Caenorhabditis elegans: one gene and its partner. The protein of the gene in region 1 purifies or fractionates together with the protein of each later gene. This does not show direct contact. Each region holds a gene or a part of one and is shown on either strand. Other genes may lie near its edges.

Region 1 (10,462 bases):
TATTAGTCTTGCACCCCTATTAGTCTTGCACCCCTACGGACCAATCGAAAATTAGTCTTGCAGCCTCTATTAGTATTGCATGCAAGACTAATAGAGGAAATACGGTAATAGTCTTGCACCCCTATTCTTGCCAGACCAGCAGTATTTTGTCAAAACTTCAACAATTTTGCCAGTTTTTAGCTAAATTAAATTTTAAAGTGTTCAAATAATAGATAAAATAATATAAATATATATATATATTGTACGATTTTGACTGTTTCATGTCTAATTTTTGACGATGAATGGTAAATTTTACAAAGCTATTGGATCTTCGAAAATTAGTCTTGCAGCCTCTAATAGTCTTGCACCCCTACGGGTCAATTGAAAATTAGTCTTGCATGCAAGACTAATAGAGGAAATACGGTATATTATTGAAACGTGAAAACGCGCTCCACGGATAATAAGAAACGCTCCACCCACGAACCATGGGTCTCGTTAGGTTTTTGGTCGAAAAACCGGTCTGAATTCCCGATTTTTCCGCCAAATTCTTAACGAGACTTCAATTGCCCGTGGAGCGCGTTTTCTGCGTCCTTATAACTACCCCGTGAGCCAAGAAATTGACGACAAACAATGGACGTGCCCGTTGTGCACAACTTTTCGGAAATTCGAACCATGGAGAATCAGTGAGACAGATTTTCGAAATACGATCGTCTCCGCCAAACTTTTTGAGCTGAAATTTAATGAAATTATATGATTTTGGCGGGTCTCGACGCGACAAATTTTTGTTAAATAGAAAAATGTGTGCGCCTTTAAAGAGTACTGTAATTTAATTTTTCACACGATTTTTTTTCGAATAAAAATGCATTTTTAACTATTTTCCGCTGTTTTTAAATTTGAAAACAGATTTCAGGACTTTTTTCGGCAAAAAAAAAGCGAAAAAACGGGGTTTTTAAGGCAAAATTCCATGTTTTCCTCAATTTTGGGTCTCGAAGCGACAAATTTTTGTTGAATACAAAAAAGTGTGCGCCTTTAAAGAGTACTGTAGTTTTAAATTTTAGTTTCTGTGAAATTTATCGATTTTTCGTAGTTTTTCTAAATAAAAATATTTTTTAATCGAAAAAATTTAAAAAAAATCGCGAAAACTAAATTAAAAAAATTTTTTTCGATTTTTTTTCAAAAGATTAAAAAATATTTTTATTTAGAAAAACTACGAAAACTCGATAAATTTCACAGAAACAAAAATTAGAAATTACAGTAATCTTTAAAGGCGCATACCTTTTTTTCTTATTCCTTGAACACAATTTTGTCGTGGCGAGACCTGAAACAGGGGTTTTTGCCTTAAAAAATCGCGAAAATGTCGATTTTTCGCCAAAAAAAGCTGAAAATAGTTTAAAATCCCATTTTTATTCAAAAAATTCAGAAAAACAGGGATTTTCGCCTTAAAAATCCGGAAATATGTCGTTTTTTCGCTTTTTTTGCCAAAAAAAAAGCTGAAAATATATTAAAATTGCATTTTCCTTTAAAAAAATCAGAAAAACAGGGATTTTTGCCTTAAAAAATCGGAGAAAAGTCGTTTTTTCGCTCTTTTTTAGCCAAAAAAAAGCTGAAAACAGTTTAAATCCCATTTTTATTCAAAAATTCAAAAAAACAGGGTTTTTTTGCCTTAAAAAATCAAAAAAAAAGTCGATTTTTTCACTCTTTTTTGCCAAAAAAAAAGTGCTGAAAACAGTTTAAAATCGCATTTTTATCCAAAAACTCAGAAAAACAGGGTTTTATGGCTTAAAAATTCGGAAAAAGTCAATTTTTTCGTTCATTTTTAGCCAAAAAAAAGCTGAAAACAGTTTAAAATCGCATTTTTATTCAAAAATTCAGAAAAACAGGGATTTTCGCCTTAAAAATCCGGAAATATGTCGTTTTTTCGCTCTTTTTTGCCAAAAAAAAAGCTGAAAATAGATTAAAATTGCATTTTCCTTTAAAAAATTCAGAAAAACAGGGATTTTCGCCTTGAAAAATCGGAAAAACATCGATTTTTTCGCTTTTTTTTGCCAAAAAAGTGCTGAAAATCCCACCACACTGGCTGTGTCGTAACCACCACGACTGTGAGCCACCACGTAGATGCTCTTAGCATTCGATGGCTCAATACACGCTATCCAGACAGTTTCAGCGTGCTCGACAGGTGTGCGGGAGTACTGAAAATCGATTTTTCAGCGAATTTTTCGAAATTTCCCGGGTTTTTTCACACCTTCAAATCCTGATCTTTACTTTCATTCAAATTAGTGTTCATCACCACAACACCCCATCCATTTTCAATAGCTCTTTCGATATACGGAATCTGAGTTCCACACTCCAAATTATCATTGATAATGAGTCTACGAGCCCATTGTCCGGCTCTGACGACACCGCTTCCGTGGATCAATACTAGAAGATTTGCAGCTTTTTTGAAATTTTTCGACACAAAAATGAAGCTTAGATCCTCATCCTCGTCGGTTTTTCCTGGAAGTTTTAGCTGAAAAAAAATTTTTTTTTTTGATTTTTAAATTTTTTTTTCCATTTTTTAAAAATTTCTTAATTTACCGCCTTTCTCTTCAGCCCACAACGTGTCTCCAGAAGCTCATAAACTTCCAGATCAACTGCTTCTCCCAGTTCTTCATAATCCTCCTGTGTAGTGAATTTGAAGGGTTTTTTGTCCTTCTCCGTTTTCAGCACGCCTTTTTCGTCGAAAAAGTACCCGAGTTTCGCCAAACTTGACATTGTTCACTGAAATTTATTTGAATTATTCGCAAAAAAACTGGTTAGAACAGAGAAAATTTCCGAAAAAACAATTTTTAAAATTAAAAAAAAAAAAAAATTTCCTGGCCGCGACCGAGGTTTCTCTCGTCCACACGGCGCAATCGCGCTCTGTTGGCAATCTGGCACAATGCCAATATTACACTGAATTTATATTTTTGCACGAAAAACTCTGGATTTAAAGTCGATTTCGCCTGTTTTCATTGGTTTTTTTCGTTTTTTCGTTTTTAAATTAAATATTAATTCAAAAAATCGATTTACAACGTATTTTACAGCTTTTAATGGCTCTGGCGTGCACCGACTCTGCAAATTCCACATTTTCACGTGTCGACTCACCGACTTCCGGCCCATCGGACCAGCTAACAACTCATGACTTGGATCGGTAGCAGTTTTGATATAAAAACAATAAAATATCAACAAAAAAAAAATATTTTCAGCCACATAGAAAAGCTGATGAGATGTGAGCTCATCGCGGAGCAAGATGTCAAAACACTTTGCGCAAAAGCTCGTGAAATCCTAGCGGAAGAGGGCAACGTCCAGGTTATCGATTCTCCGGTGACGGTTGGTTGGATAAAATCGATTTTTAAATCAAAATTTCCATTTTAAATTCTATTTCCAGATCTGCGGAGACATCCACGGCCAGTTCTACGATTTAATGGAGCTCTTCAAAGTCGGCGGACCAGTGCCGAACACCAACTATTTGTTCCTCGGAGATTTCGTGGATCGAGGCTTCTATTCTGTGGAGGTGCCCCCGCTTTTTTGCAATTTTCCTGGCGAAAAAATTGCAAAAAAAACTCCCAAAAAATCGATATTTTTCCAGACATTCCTTCTACTTCTCGCACTGAAAGCTCGCTATCCGGATCGAATGATGTTGATCCGTGGAAATCACGAAAGTCGCCAGATTACTCAAGTCTACGGGTTCTATGATGAATGCCTTCGGAAATATGGAAATGCGTCTGTTTGGAAACATTGTACCGAAGTTTTCGACTACTTATCACTTGCCGCTGTAATTGATGGGAAGGTTTTCTGTGTTCATGGTGGATTATCCCCGTCGATTAGTACTATGGATCAGATTCGTGTTATTGATCGGAAGCAGGAGGTAAAACGCAAAAAATATGCTGTTTTTAATGGAATTTTGCTTTGAATTTCGGTTAAAATTCGGTGAATTACAATTTTTTAAATTTCCGGCATTTTGCCGAATTTGCCGGAAAGTTTTAAAATTTTCGAAAATGAAAATAACCGACAAATCTGCAAATTGCCGGAATTTAAAAATTTCCGGCAAATCAGCAAACCGGCAAATTTGCCCAAAATGAAAATAACCGGCAAATCGACAAATTGCCGGAATTAAAAATTTCTGGCAAATCGACAAACTGCCGTAATGAAACTTTCTGGCAAATCGACAAATTGCCGAAAATGAAAATAACCGGCAAATCGACAAATTGCCGGAATTAAAATTTTCTGGCAAATCGGCAAATGTTCGAATTAAAAAATTTGTGGCAAATTGGCGAAATTGAAAATTTCCGGCAAATCGAAAAATTGCCGGAATTAAAAAATTCCGGCAAATCGGCAAATTGCCGTAATTAAAAATTTCTGGCAAATCGGAAAATTGCCATGTTTAAAAATTTTCGGCAAATCGGAAAATTGCCGAAATTGAAAATTTCCGGCAATTCGTCAAATTGCCGGAATTTAAAAATTTCCGGCAAGTCGGAAATTTGCCGAATTCGCCGGAAAAACGGCAAATTGCCGGAATTAAAAATTTCCGGCAAATCGGCAAATTGCTGGAATTGATAATTTCCGGCAAATCGGCAAATTGCTGGAATTGATAATTTCCGGCAAATCGGCAAATTGCCGGAATTTAAAAATTTCCGGCAAGTCGGAAATTTGCCGAATTCGCCGGAAAAACGGCAAATTGCCGGAATTAAAAATTTCCGGCAAATCGACAAACTGCCGAAAATGAAAATTTCTGGCAAATCGGCAAATTGCTGGAATTGATAATTTCCGGCAAATTTCCGGAATTAAGATTTTCTGGCAAATCGGCAATTTGTCGATCATGAAAATAACCGTCAAATCGACAAATTTCCGGAATTAAAATTTTCTGGCAAATCGGCAAATTGCCGAAAATGAAAATAACCAGAAAATCGGCAAATTTCCGAAAATTTCCGTTTAAAAAAAAATTTCCGTTTTTTTCATTAAAAATTTTTTTTTTTAATTTTCAGACTTTTTTCTAATTTTTTCTCATCAAAATCGACCAATTTAATTTTTATTTCATTTATTTCGATTTTTTCCCCGAAAAATACTAAAAAATTCAAAAAATAGTCTCAAAATCAGAAAAAAACCACAAAAACGCGATTTTTGTCTTCAACCAATCAGCGATTCGCTCCGCCCACTTTTCAACCAATCAGATGGAGTGGGCGGAGTTTGAGTTCTCATTTTGGAGGGAATTCAAAATTGAAAAATCTTTTTATTTTTCTGAATTTGATACTATTTCGGATATTTTGAAGCGAAATTTCAAAATTTACGTTAAATTTTTCGAGAAATCACTTTTTTCCAGCGGGGCGAAGGTTTTGCAAGTCTGCGGTTTGCTATATTTCGATTTACGGAGAATTTTGTAATACACACGGACAAGCGTCGATTAATTTTTTAATTTTTTCTAATAGTAAATTTACAGTTTTGGGCCATTTTTGCCAATTTTTTTTGGTGTTCAACATTAAAAATTGGGTCCATATATATATATTTTTTGAATAGTGTTTACAAAAAAAATTACAGAACTGAAGAACAATTCGAAAAAAAAAAAAAAACGCTTATCCACGTGTAGCACAAACTCCACCGTAAATCGACAGAAATCAAACCGCGCCGCAGGTTTGCAAAACCACCGTTCCGCCTCAAAAATTGAAAAAAAAATCAATTTTTTAATCAAATTTTGTTCGTTTTGATAGAAAAACGTATAAATTTGTGCTAAAAAAGCGAAAAAAAATTCTGAAAATTTCCAGGTTCCCCACGACGGTCCAATGTGTGATCTACTGTGGTCGGACCCCGAAGAAGGAAATGTTGGATGGGGCCTAAGTCCACGCGGAGCCGGTTATCTATTCGGAGCGGACGCGTCGAAAACGTTTTGCGAAACGAACGGAGTCGATTTGATCTGTAGAGCTCATCAATTGGTTATGGAAGGATATAAATGGCATTTCAACGAGAAAGTGCTCACTGTTTGGTCGGCGCCCAACTATTGTTATCGGTACGGGATGGATTTGGAAAAAAAACGGAAATTTTTTTTTCGTGAAAAAGACGAAAAATTAAAATTTTTGGTCACTTTTTTATCATTTAAAGTATAATTTTTAGGAAAAAATACAATTTTTTTCTGAAAATTTGAATTTTCCCGCTAAAATTTGTTTCCAAAAAATTTAAATTTTCCCGCCAAAATTTGATTCCAAAAAAATTCAAATTTTCCGGCCAAAATTTGTTTCCAAAAAATTTGAATTTTCCCGCCAAAATTTGTTTCCAAAAAATTTGAATTTTCCCGCCAAAATTTGTTTCCAAAAAATTTGAATTTTCCGGCCAAAATTTGTTTCCAAAAAATTTGAATTTTCCCGTCAAAATATGTTTTTAAAAGAAAATTTAAATTTTCCCGCCAAAATTTGTTTCCAGAAAATTTGAATTTTCCCGCCAAAATTTGTTTCCAAAAAATTTAAATTTTCCCGCCAAAATTTGTTTCCAAAAAATTTGAATTTTCCCGCCAAAATTTGTTTCCAAAAAATTTGAATTTTCCGGCCAAAATTTGTTTCCAAAAAATTTGAATTTTCCCGTCAAAATATGTTTTTAAAAGAAAATTTAAATTTTCCCGCCAAAATTTGTTTCCAGAAAATTTGAATTTTCCCGCCAAAATTTGTTTCCAGAAAATTTAAATTTTCCCGCCAAAATTTGTTTCCAGAAAATTTGAATTTTCCCGCCAAAATTTGATTCCAGAAAATTTGAATTTTCCCGCCAAAATTTGTTTCCAAAAAATTTGAATTTTCCCGCCAAAATTTGTTTCCAAAAAATTTGAATTTTCCCGCCAAAATTTGTTTCCAAAAAATTTGAATTTTCCCGCCAAAATTTGTTTCCAAAAAATTTGAATTTTCCCGCCAAAATTTGTTTCCAAAAAAATTTACACTTCCCGCCAAAATTTGTTTCCAAAAAATTTGAATTTTCCCGTCAAAATATGTTTTTAAAAGAAAATTTAAATTTTCCCGCCAAAATTTGTTTCCAGAAAATTTGAATTTTCCCGCCAAAATTTGTTTCCAAAAAATTTGAATTTTCCCGCCAAAATTTGTTTCCAAAAAATTTGAATTTTCCCGTCAAAATATGTTTTTAAAAGAAAATTTAAATTTTCCCGCCAAAATTTGTTTCCAAAAAATTCAAATTTTCCCGCCAAAATTTGTTTCCAAAAAATTTGAATTTTCCGGCCAAAATTTGTTTCCAAAAAATTTGAATTTTCCCGTCAAAATATGTTTTTAAAAGAAAATTTAAATTTTCCCGCCAAAATTTGTTTCCAGAAAATTTGAATTTTCCCGCCAAAATTTGTTTCCAAAAAATTTGAATTTTCCCGTCAAAATATGTTTTTAAAAGAAAATTTAAATTTTCCCGCCAAAATTTGTTTCCAAAAAATTTAAATTTTCCCGCCAAAATTTGTTTCCAGAAAATTTGAATTTTCCCGCCAAAATTTGTTTCCAAAAAATTTGAATTTTCCCGCCAAAATTTGTTTCCAAAAAATTTGAATTTTCCCGTCAAAATATGTTTTTAAAAGAAAATTTAAATTTTCCCGCCAAAATTTGTTTCCAGAAAATTTGAATTTTCCCGCCAAAATTTGATTCCAGAAAATTTGAATTTTCCCGCCAAAATTTGTTTCCAGAAAATTTGAATTTTCCCGCCAAAATTTGTTTCCAAAAAATTTGAATTTTCCCGCCAAAATTTGTTTCCAAAAAATTTGAATTTTCCCGTCAAAATATGTTTTTAAAAGAAAATTTAAATTTTCCCGCCAAAATTTGTTTCCAAAAAATTCAAATTTTCCGGCCAAAATTTGTTTCCAAAAAATTTGAATTTTCCCGCCAAAATTTGTTTCCAAAAAATTTGAATTTTCCGGCCAAAATTTGTTTCCAAAAAATTTGAATTTTCCCGTCAAAATATGTTTTTAAAAGAAAATTTAAATTTTCCCGCCAAAATTTGTTTCCAGAAAATTTGAATTTTCCCGCCAAAATTTGATTCCAGAAAATTTGAATTTTCCCGCCAAAATTTGTTTCCAAAAAATTTGAATTTTCCCGCCAAAATTTGTTTCCAAAAAATTTGAATTTTCCCGCCAAAATTTGTTTCCAAAAAATTTGAATTTTCCCGCCAAAATTTGTTTCCAAAAAAATTTAAACTTCCCGCCAAAATTTGTTTCCAAAAAATTTGAATTTTCCCGTCAAAATATGTTTTTAAAAGAAAATTTAAATTTTCCCGCCAAAATTTGTTTCCAGAAAATTTGAATTTTCCCGCCAAAATTTGATTCCAGAAAATTTGAATTTTCCCGCCAAAATTTGTTTCCAAAAAATTTGAATTTTCCCGCCAAACTTTGTTCCCAAAAAATTTGAATTTTCCCGCCAAAATTTGTTTCCAAAAAATTTAAATTTTCCCGCCAAAATTTGTTTCCAGAAAATTTAAAATTTTCCCGCCAAAATCACGTAGTGCCAGAGTGTCCCATTTCGGTTTGATCTACAAAAATGCGGGAGAAGTGACGCACTGATTTTGCATGATTAAGAACGTGTTGACGTCACATTTTTTGGACAAAAAAATCCCGCATTTTTTGTAGATCAAACCCAAAAATTTGTTTCAAAAGAAAAATTGAATTTCCCGGAAAACTTGAGCTTTTTTTGCAGTAAAAAAAAACTTAATGAAAATTTTCCAGATGCGGCAACGTGGCGGCAATTCTCGAGCTCGACGAGAATCTCAACAAGGAATTCACAATTTTCGAAGCTGCTCCACAAGAAAATCGCGGAGCACCGGCCAAAAAACCGCACGCCGACTATTTCCTCTAATTTTTTCTCGAAATTTTCTCGAAATTTCTTTCTCGCCCAAAAATTCCGAAGAATCTCCCCCTTTTATATCGCCGAAACACCATTTTTTTCCTTTTTTTTTTGCTCCCACAAAAATATTTCAATATTTAATTATTATTTTCCACACACACACACACATTTTTCTGTAAATGTCCACCCCCCTCCAAATTTTACGGATTTATTTTTTTTTCGACAAAAAAAAGTATTAAAATTTATTTCATGCTATTCATTTTTAAAACCGATTTGATTTGAAACAAAAAAAAACAATTAACCGTATTTGGGGAGTGAGAAATGGGAAAAAAATAAAACATGAAAATGGAATTTTTCACAGAAAAAATCGAAGTAAAATACAATTGATTGGATAAAATGGGAAAGCTGCGACCAATCAGGTGGAGTGGGCGGAGTGGGCGGAGTTCAAAGTCGCTGATTGGTCGGTGAGAAATTGAGAAAAAAATGGATTTTTGAAGCTTTAAATATAACATTTTGGATAAAAATAACTAGTTTTCAAAGATTTTTTAATTTTTTAATATTTTTTTCGCTCAAAAAATCCTTCAGCTTGGCTCAAATTGCTGGAAATTCTCATCAAAAGCCTGCTGCTCGGCAAGCTTGGCACCATCCATGTATCGGTTCAGTTCTCTTGTGATTTGATTGAGTACCACTTTAATCGCATTCGCCTCCCTCAGCTCAACCTCCTCCTTTTTGAGATTCAACTGATGGTCGGCGATCTCGAAAGCCGTCTTCGCACGGGATTTTTTCGAAGCAAACGTATTTTGAGGTAGTCCTGCGATTTTTTTGACACTCGTGTATTGTCCGTAGTCCTGTTCGGTTTTGTTGAAGGCCTGAAAATGTTGAGAATTGGGGAAAAAATTTGATTTTTCACAAAAAAAAAATTTTTTTAAAGTTTTTTTGCCAGTTTTTCTTATGTTTTTTATCACGGATTTCTGGTTTCCCTCCATAAATTGAAATGGAAGAGTTTTTGCCGAATTAGGCCAGGCCATATCTGGGGTAGATTTACGGCGCGCGTTGCGTGTCGCGTCGCGGCTCGATTGTAAAACTAAATGTATTTGTCCGTGTGGAGTACACGTTGTCCGGCGGGGGTGATTGTCAATGGAGCGCGAAAAAATCAATGAGGAAGGCCAGAAGCCCGTGAAAAAGAAAAAATTTAAAAAAAAACTATATTTGATAGTGTTTTTGGATTTTTTGTTTAGTTTAAATTTTTACTTTTTTTTTGTTGCTATTTTGCCAGTTTTTCTTATGTTTTTTATTATCAAAAATCGATAAAAATTGGATTGTTTTGTTTTTTTTACATTTTTTTCGATTTTTCAAAAAAAAAAAGCCTTAAAATTTTGGCAATTTTTCATATTTTTAGAAAAAAAAACTGATTTTTTTGTAAATTTTCAAACCATTGTTTTCCGATTTCATCTATCCCCACACGGGCCCTTTCTGGCCTTCCTCATTGGATTTTTTTTCGCGCTCCATTGATAATCGCCTGCCGGACTCCACACGGACAAATACATTTAGTTTTACAATCGAGCCACGACGCGACACGCAACGCGCCGTAAATCTACCCCAGATATGGCCTGGCCTAGTTCGGCAAAAAACTCTTTCATTTCAATTCATGAGGAAAGCCA
Region 2 (5,812 bases), on another chromosome or scaffold:
AGCACGCCCATCCTCTTTGATAATCGTGATTAAATAATCGAAGAGATCATAGTAATACTGAGTTGGAACATCAGGCATCATAATAAGCGGTATCAGATGTTGAACACAGTCCAGTACATCACCACAGTGCATCATCTTCACAAATCGTTGATAAGAGTAGAGGAAGGTAAGAGATGGAAGTGAGAGTACAGAATGATTGGTTATTGAAGATAAAACTCTTAATGCAGCCAATTCATCCTTCGAACTTGAACCAACAATTCGAGATACTGTCCAGTCAATTGTCTTTTTGGATCCAGTTTTCAACGCCCAAGCGAGTGTTGAACTCCAATGTCCTTGCTTCAGATACCGGAAAGTCATTGTATTTGTCACACAACTTTTCGCGTCTTCCAGTCGATGCTCTTCACATATTTCCAGCAACTGCTCAGCCATCTCATCATCCTCAATGTGAAGCCCTTCGATGTGTGTTTCGAGACGTAGAAGTCCTTCGGTACCACACGCAATAAGATATCCGGCTCCGATTTCCCACAGACTATAAAAAATTTGTGAAGTTATATTTTAAAATGTTTTTTCAGTAATTAGAAATTTCAAAAACTAACGGAGAATGAGAGATAAGAACACTGGCGTAGTCCAACATGTGCATTTTCCTCATCACTTCAAACTCGGGATCCAATGTGGATTTGTGAATAAGATCAACCAGGTGAACTGCGAGCCAGGGATTCGAGGCAATCAACTGAAATTTTATTCAGTAAAATTAATTAATTCTTATTTAAAACAATCTAGAATTTATTTTGAAGAAAATTGTTAAATATTCTTGAACATTATTTTGATTTTTTTTTATTGGGATAAAATTGAATGAAATGTTCTGTCGCCGTTTAATTAATCGTGAAAGAAATAGTGAGCCTATTTTCAAGAGATATTTATATTTAATTTAATTTCTTGAATAAAAACAAGAACCTGTTGAAAGTTAATATCATCCTTCGAAATAAGACACCAGAATACATCATTTTCCTTTGCACCCTCCTCTTCCTCTTCTCCAACGAATAGTGTTCTACACTCATCAGCTAGCTCAATGAGCTCGACATGTCCGGCGAATGGATTCTTGACAAGCACAAAGAATGGCAGAAAATGCCACCACGTGTCGAAAATCCGTGAAGCCATAGATACGAGGTATCGTTCCTCACCGAGTAGGAGCTTCGTAAGATATTTGAAATTTTCGTTGCTCCCGTACTTCCCACTTGTCAAATTTTCACGCATGATATCCTTCCATTCATTTACTGTGTTAGCCTGAAATAAGAATATTACGAAGTTTAAGAATTATTATATAAATGGGTCTTACTAATGCTTCGTCGACTAAGTTTTCGGGATTGAAGAATGTGAGAGCCTCAATGAATGCATCACATTCTGATCCGCCTCCATGTAGCTCCAACAGTTCAACACAATCGCTGAAATTGCAACTAAGCAAGCTGACTGCTACTCCCTTCCAATATTCTTCTGGAATCGTCTTCCCCGGATGCAGATATTCCACAGCTGATTCCATGGCTCCTCTAGAAAACGTGAAGCTCTGATTGGCCCATGAAATAAGATCCGCACATATCGAGCTATCACCTCTTCCAAACCATAATTTCTCGTAAAGTGACCACAAAGCAAAGTCTGTCATGAAGTCGGAACTGCTGTGAGACACGGCGGCATTGTAGAGAACTGAACGATAAGCTCGAGAGAATGTGCAGCAAGTAGGCGTGTCTAGAGGTGCATCAGGTGAGGAGCCTTTTTGACATTTATCAAATACAGAATACATTTCGATAACAAGTCGTCTGAGATTTGGTGTCGCAAGAATTTGTCGATTTTGTGAAACTTTCTCGACCAAGACTGTTTCTGAAAAATCTCTTATGTTGGAAACTGAAGAAGATGCAATTTTTACCTTTATTTGAAAATCCTTTTTTATCTGTTAGGAAGGCGAAGACCGTGGAGGAGTCGCTGACAGCTATCCCGAATTCTCGAGCGACATCCGTCATCTGAAAGAGATACTAATGTCATGTGAAGTGGTATTAAAAATATAGTAAGCACGGTAGAAACATTAACTTATAAAATTGAGATTTCTGATAAATAAAATTTTTCCGGGAGTTCTGTAAAACTTCTTACGGTTTTAACTTGATAATTCCATAGGGTTTAAAATTTCCTTTTGTTTCTTGAGTTTCTTCTCGGAATTTGAACAAAAATAACGCGTTTAATCTCGAATCAGTACAATGATGGACTACACGGCAGTTTTAAAAAACCAATTAATAATAATAATCCTAAAAAATGAGAAGAATATTTAAGAAAATGTAAAAGTTTTCCGCGGAATTCCGCTAAAATTCGAAAATTGAAAGTGTTCAAATTGCAAGCGATTGTGCATTCAGACGTGACAGTGTCTGGGGTGTATTGCGTACTCGACATTTTAACTGACGACACTTGTACTTTTGCGCCATACTTCCGGAGCTCCAGCTCCGCGGAGCCCTGAGCAATTATTTTTTTACTTTTTATGAAAAGCTTTCTATAGATATCTTTTAAGAAGTTACACTATAATTGTGCAAATCAAACTGGCTCCGGACAACACAAATTTCGTCTATACCTTTATGATCTTTTTTTGTTAAACAAGTGAAACAATTATTTCCTTTTCAAACTGCTCTTGTTTCTTCTCTTTATTAATCAATTTTTTTTTTTTTGCTTTGTGTAAATTAATTGTTTGTCGCGGATGAGCTAATTCTGAGGTTTGACCAGCAGAAATCTGTTTTCTGAAAAATCAATAACTCGCCGCTTAATTTTGGTTTTATTCAAGTGATATGCAATTAGAAGGTTCTAATCATTTATATCTCGCTGAAAGATCTCAGATTTCAAGCCTTTTGCTAAGGATTTAATTCCTAAAACTTTTTTTGACCTATCATTTTTTGTGTGATCTACCGCTGTAAATACTTGTTGTTTTGCGGCTAAACTCTTTCAATGTTTCCAACAAGTGAGCCAATATCAAGTAAAAAAAGAAAAATCGTTTTCTATTCAACCATTTTATTCTGTAAATAATATTAAATTCATCTTCACGGTACAATCTTCTTCTCCCATCTAATAAAGTCCACGCACACTCCGTTCCGTCGTTTCCCTATTCGTTATCATTCATCATCTTGCCATTTTCTTCTCCGCCAAATCCCATTGTCTTATACTAAATTTCATCCTCTCGTCTGTAGAAGTGTATATTATTGAAAAATTAAAGTATATTTTCAGGATGAATGGGGATGTGCAGTCAGTCATTCGCGGATATCTGGAGCGAGCCCAAGTCGCGAAAACAATGTCCGATGCCGGACGATGGAATGAGGCTGGTGATCTTCTTCGTCAGCTCATGACAGATGTCAAAAGCTGTAAAATTTCGGCAAGCAACAGAGACGAGCATGACGCAAGAAATGTACGTAATATAAATCTTTTAAAAGCTTGTTGAATTATTTGAAATTTCAGACATTCCTACGAGCCCTAGAGGCTAATTTGAAGCTTGTCCAACAAAATGTGCGCGATGAAGATGACCTACACGAGGCGATGACGCGACAAAGTGGAAGTCCAGAGCCACCTGCAGACCCAGATGTTTGGTCCAAACCATCGCCACCGTTACCATCCTCATCGAAATTTGGAGCAACAAAGAAAGGAGTTGGAGCAGCAGGTCCACGTCCCAGAGAAATATCAAAGTCAACGTCGTCGATGAGCACGAATCCGGCTGATGTGAAGCCTGCGAATCCAACACAAGGAATACTGCCTCAAAATAGTGCTGGAGATTCATTCGATGCATCGGCTTATGATGCGGTAAGTTATTATGTTTTCCAGAAACAAAAATCAGAAATCTTTTCAGTACATTGTTCAAGCGGTGCGTGGTACAATGGCTACAAATACGGAAAATACAATGTCTTTAGATGATATAATCGGAATGCACGACGTGAAGCAAGTTCTGCACGAAGCCGTCACTCTTCCACTCTTGGTGCCAGAATTCTTCCAGGGTCTCCGTTCACCATGGAAAGCAATGGTTCTCGCTGGACCACCTGGAACTGGAAAGACTCTTATCGCACGTGCGATTGCTTCAGAGTCTAGTTCAACTTTTTTTACCGTTTCCTCGACTGATCTGTCCAGCAAGTGGCGTGGTGATTCCGAGAAGATTGTTCGTCTGTTATTCGAACTTGCACGGTTCTATGCTCCATCCATAATCTTCATCGATGAGATTGACACACTTGGTGGACAACGTGGAAATTCTGGAGAACACGAAGCGAGTCGGCGTGTTAAATCCGAGTTTCTGGTACAAATGGACGGGTCACAGAATAAATTCGATTCGCGACGTGTATTCGTGCTGGCCGCCACAAATATTCCATGGGAGCTCGATGAGGCACTCCGAAGACGTTTCGAAAAGCGAATCTTCATTCCACTGCCAGATATAGATGCAAGAAAGAAGCTTATCGAAAAATCAATGGAAGGAACTCCGAAATCCGATGAAATTAACTATGATGACTTGGCGGCAAGGACTGAAGGATTCTCAGGAGCTGATGTTGTGTCTCTATGCAGAACTGCTGCTATCAATGTGTTGAGAAGGTAGGTAGCAGGAATGTGCAGAAAATCTTTTTGGAAAACGTGCTTGTTTCAATAAGATAATCCAATATTTCGAATCAAAAACTGGTATAGAAATGGCAACTTTCATGCACTATTTAATGTTTTTAAACGCTTGTAGACAAAATTAAATAACATTTTAAGATGAAATGAACCGTTTTTATAAATTTCGATATCAATTTAAGATTGAAAAGTTGGATTATCATAATTAAAAAAAAGCCAATTTTGTACGTTTGCTGAAAAAATTTTGCTAATCGCGATGTTGCAACACTTTTTTCAAGAATCGACACTAAGAATCCTTAAGATATTTCAGATACGACACCAAATCATTGCGAGGCGGGGAACTGACAGCTGCAATGGAATCACTGAAAGCCGAACTCGTGAGGAACATTGACTTTGAAGCAGCTCTTCAAGCAGTTTCACCAAGTGCTGGTCCAGATACAATGCTCAAATGCAAAGAATGGTGTGACTCTTTTGGTGCCATGTAAATCAACTATTTATTGTGATCTCCTTTTAGTTTAAAATATTGTGGCCTAGCTTTGGTTTTTGAAACTCTGAAACATTGTACAGATAAAATTTTCAAGGCCACCTTCATCCAAACATCTCTCCCCGATTCACTCTTTCCTGTAAAATACTTATTGGTTAAATTTGTATGTAAAATGAATCATTTTGCCACTCACTGGATTATTTGGAAATATATAAAAGTTCATTTGTGAAAGAAATATAAGAAAAGAAGACAGTGAAAAAAAACGATACAGGAAAGAAAATAAACATCGATTAGAAAAGAAACTGAATAAAAAACCGCCCTTATGAAGGGTAACTATTAGTGGATAAGTGTTTAGGAAATTTCATGTGTGAATTTTAATTGTCTAAAAGGTTAACATTTTGGAAGAAGAAAGATCAAAAAAAAAAGAAAGCAAATTTTGTGGAACACGATTCTCTTACGGGGGATAACAAACGGAATTATGACGGTGGACTGTAAGGAAAAATTGAGAAAGATCTGTGATGGGCTGGACCACGATAAGAGGAAGTGGGGAAGGCTTTCAAATTAGAAAAATTAGACTTTTGGTTCATCTGGATTAGTTTTTGGTGGTTCCTCATCCTTCAAAAGTGGAGTATTTTCAGTTGTTAAATTCGATGTCGAAGTGTGTGGAGACGGACGAATTACCTGAAAAACAGATCGTTCAGATATTTTACTAAGTTT

The links. The genes of interacting proteins can lie anywhere in the genome.
Region 2: the proteins of pph-4.1 (region 1) and mei-1 purify together in Caenorhabditis elegans (affinity purification with western blotting, with the first as the bait; one study listed by BioGRID). This does not show direct contact.

Annotation. Positions count from the first base shown.
Region 1 is NC_003281.10:12,343,916-12,354,377, reverse strand, and holds pph-4.1 (Serine/threonine-protein phosphatase 4 catalytic subunit 1), read left to right. Parts: upstream 1-3,041; 5' UTR 3,042-3,047; coding exon 3,048-3,148; intron 3,149-3,203; coding exon 3,204-3,327; intron 3,328-3,385; coding exon 3,386-3,511; intron 3,512-3,586; coding exon 3,587-3,865; intron 3,866-5,756; coding exon 5,757-5,998; intron 5,999-8,683; coding exon 8,684-8,813; 3' UTR 8,814-9,055; downstream 9,056-10,462. Other genes in the region: FAM172 family protein homolog Y75B8A.31, read right to left, coding at 581-709, 2,049-2,168, 2,222-2,485, 2,554-2,730; zip-1 (BZIP domain-containing protein), read right to left, coding at 9,383-9,670. UniProt on the Caenorhabditis elegans protein: Protein phosphatase which plays an essential role in meiosis and in early embryonic mitosis.
Region 2 is NC_003279.8:8,291,629-8,297,440, forward strand, and holds mei-1 (Meiotic spindle formation protein mei-1), read left to right. Parts: upstream 1-3,245; 5' UTR 3,246-3,253; coding exon 3,254-3,430; intron 3,431-3,480; coding exon 3,481-3,819; intron 3,820-3,865; coding exon 3,866-4,593; intron 4,594-4,912; coding exon 4,913-5,096; 3' UTR 5,097-5,312; downstream 5,313-5,812. Other genes in the region: npp-2 (Nuclear pore complex protein Nup85), read right to left, coding at 1-529, 597-730, 955-1,284, 1,337-1,872, 1,919-2,012; abts-1 (Anion exchange protein), read right to left, coding at 5,666-5,776. UniProt on the Caenorhabditis elegans protein: Catalytic subunit of a complex which severs microtubules in an ATP-dependent manner. Microtubule severing may promote rapid reorganization of cellular microtubule arrays.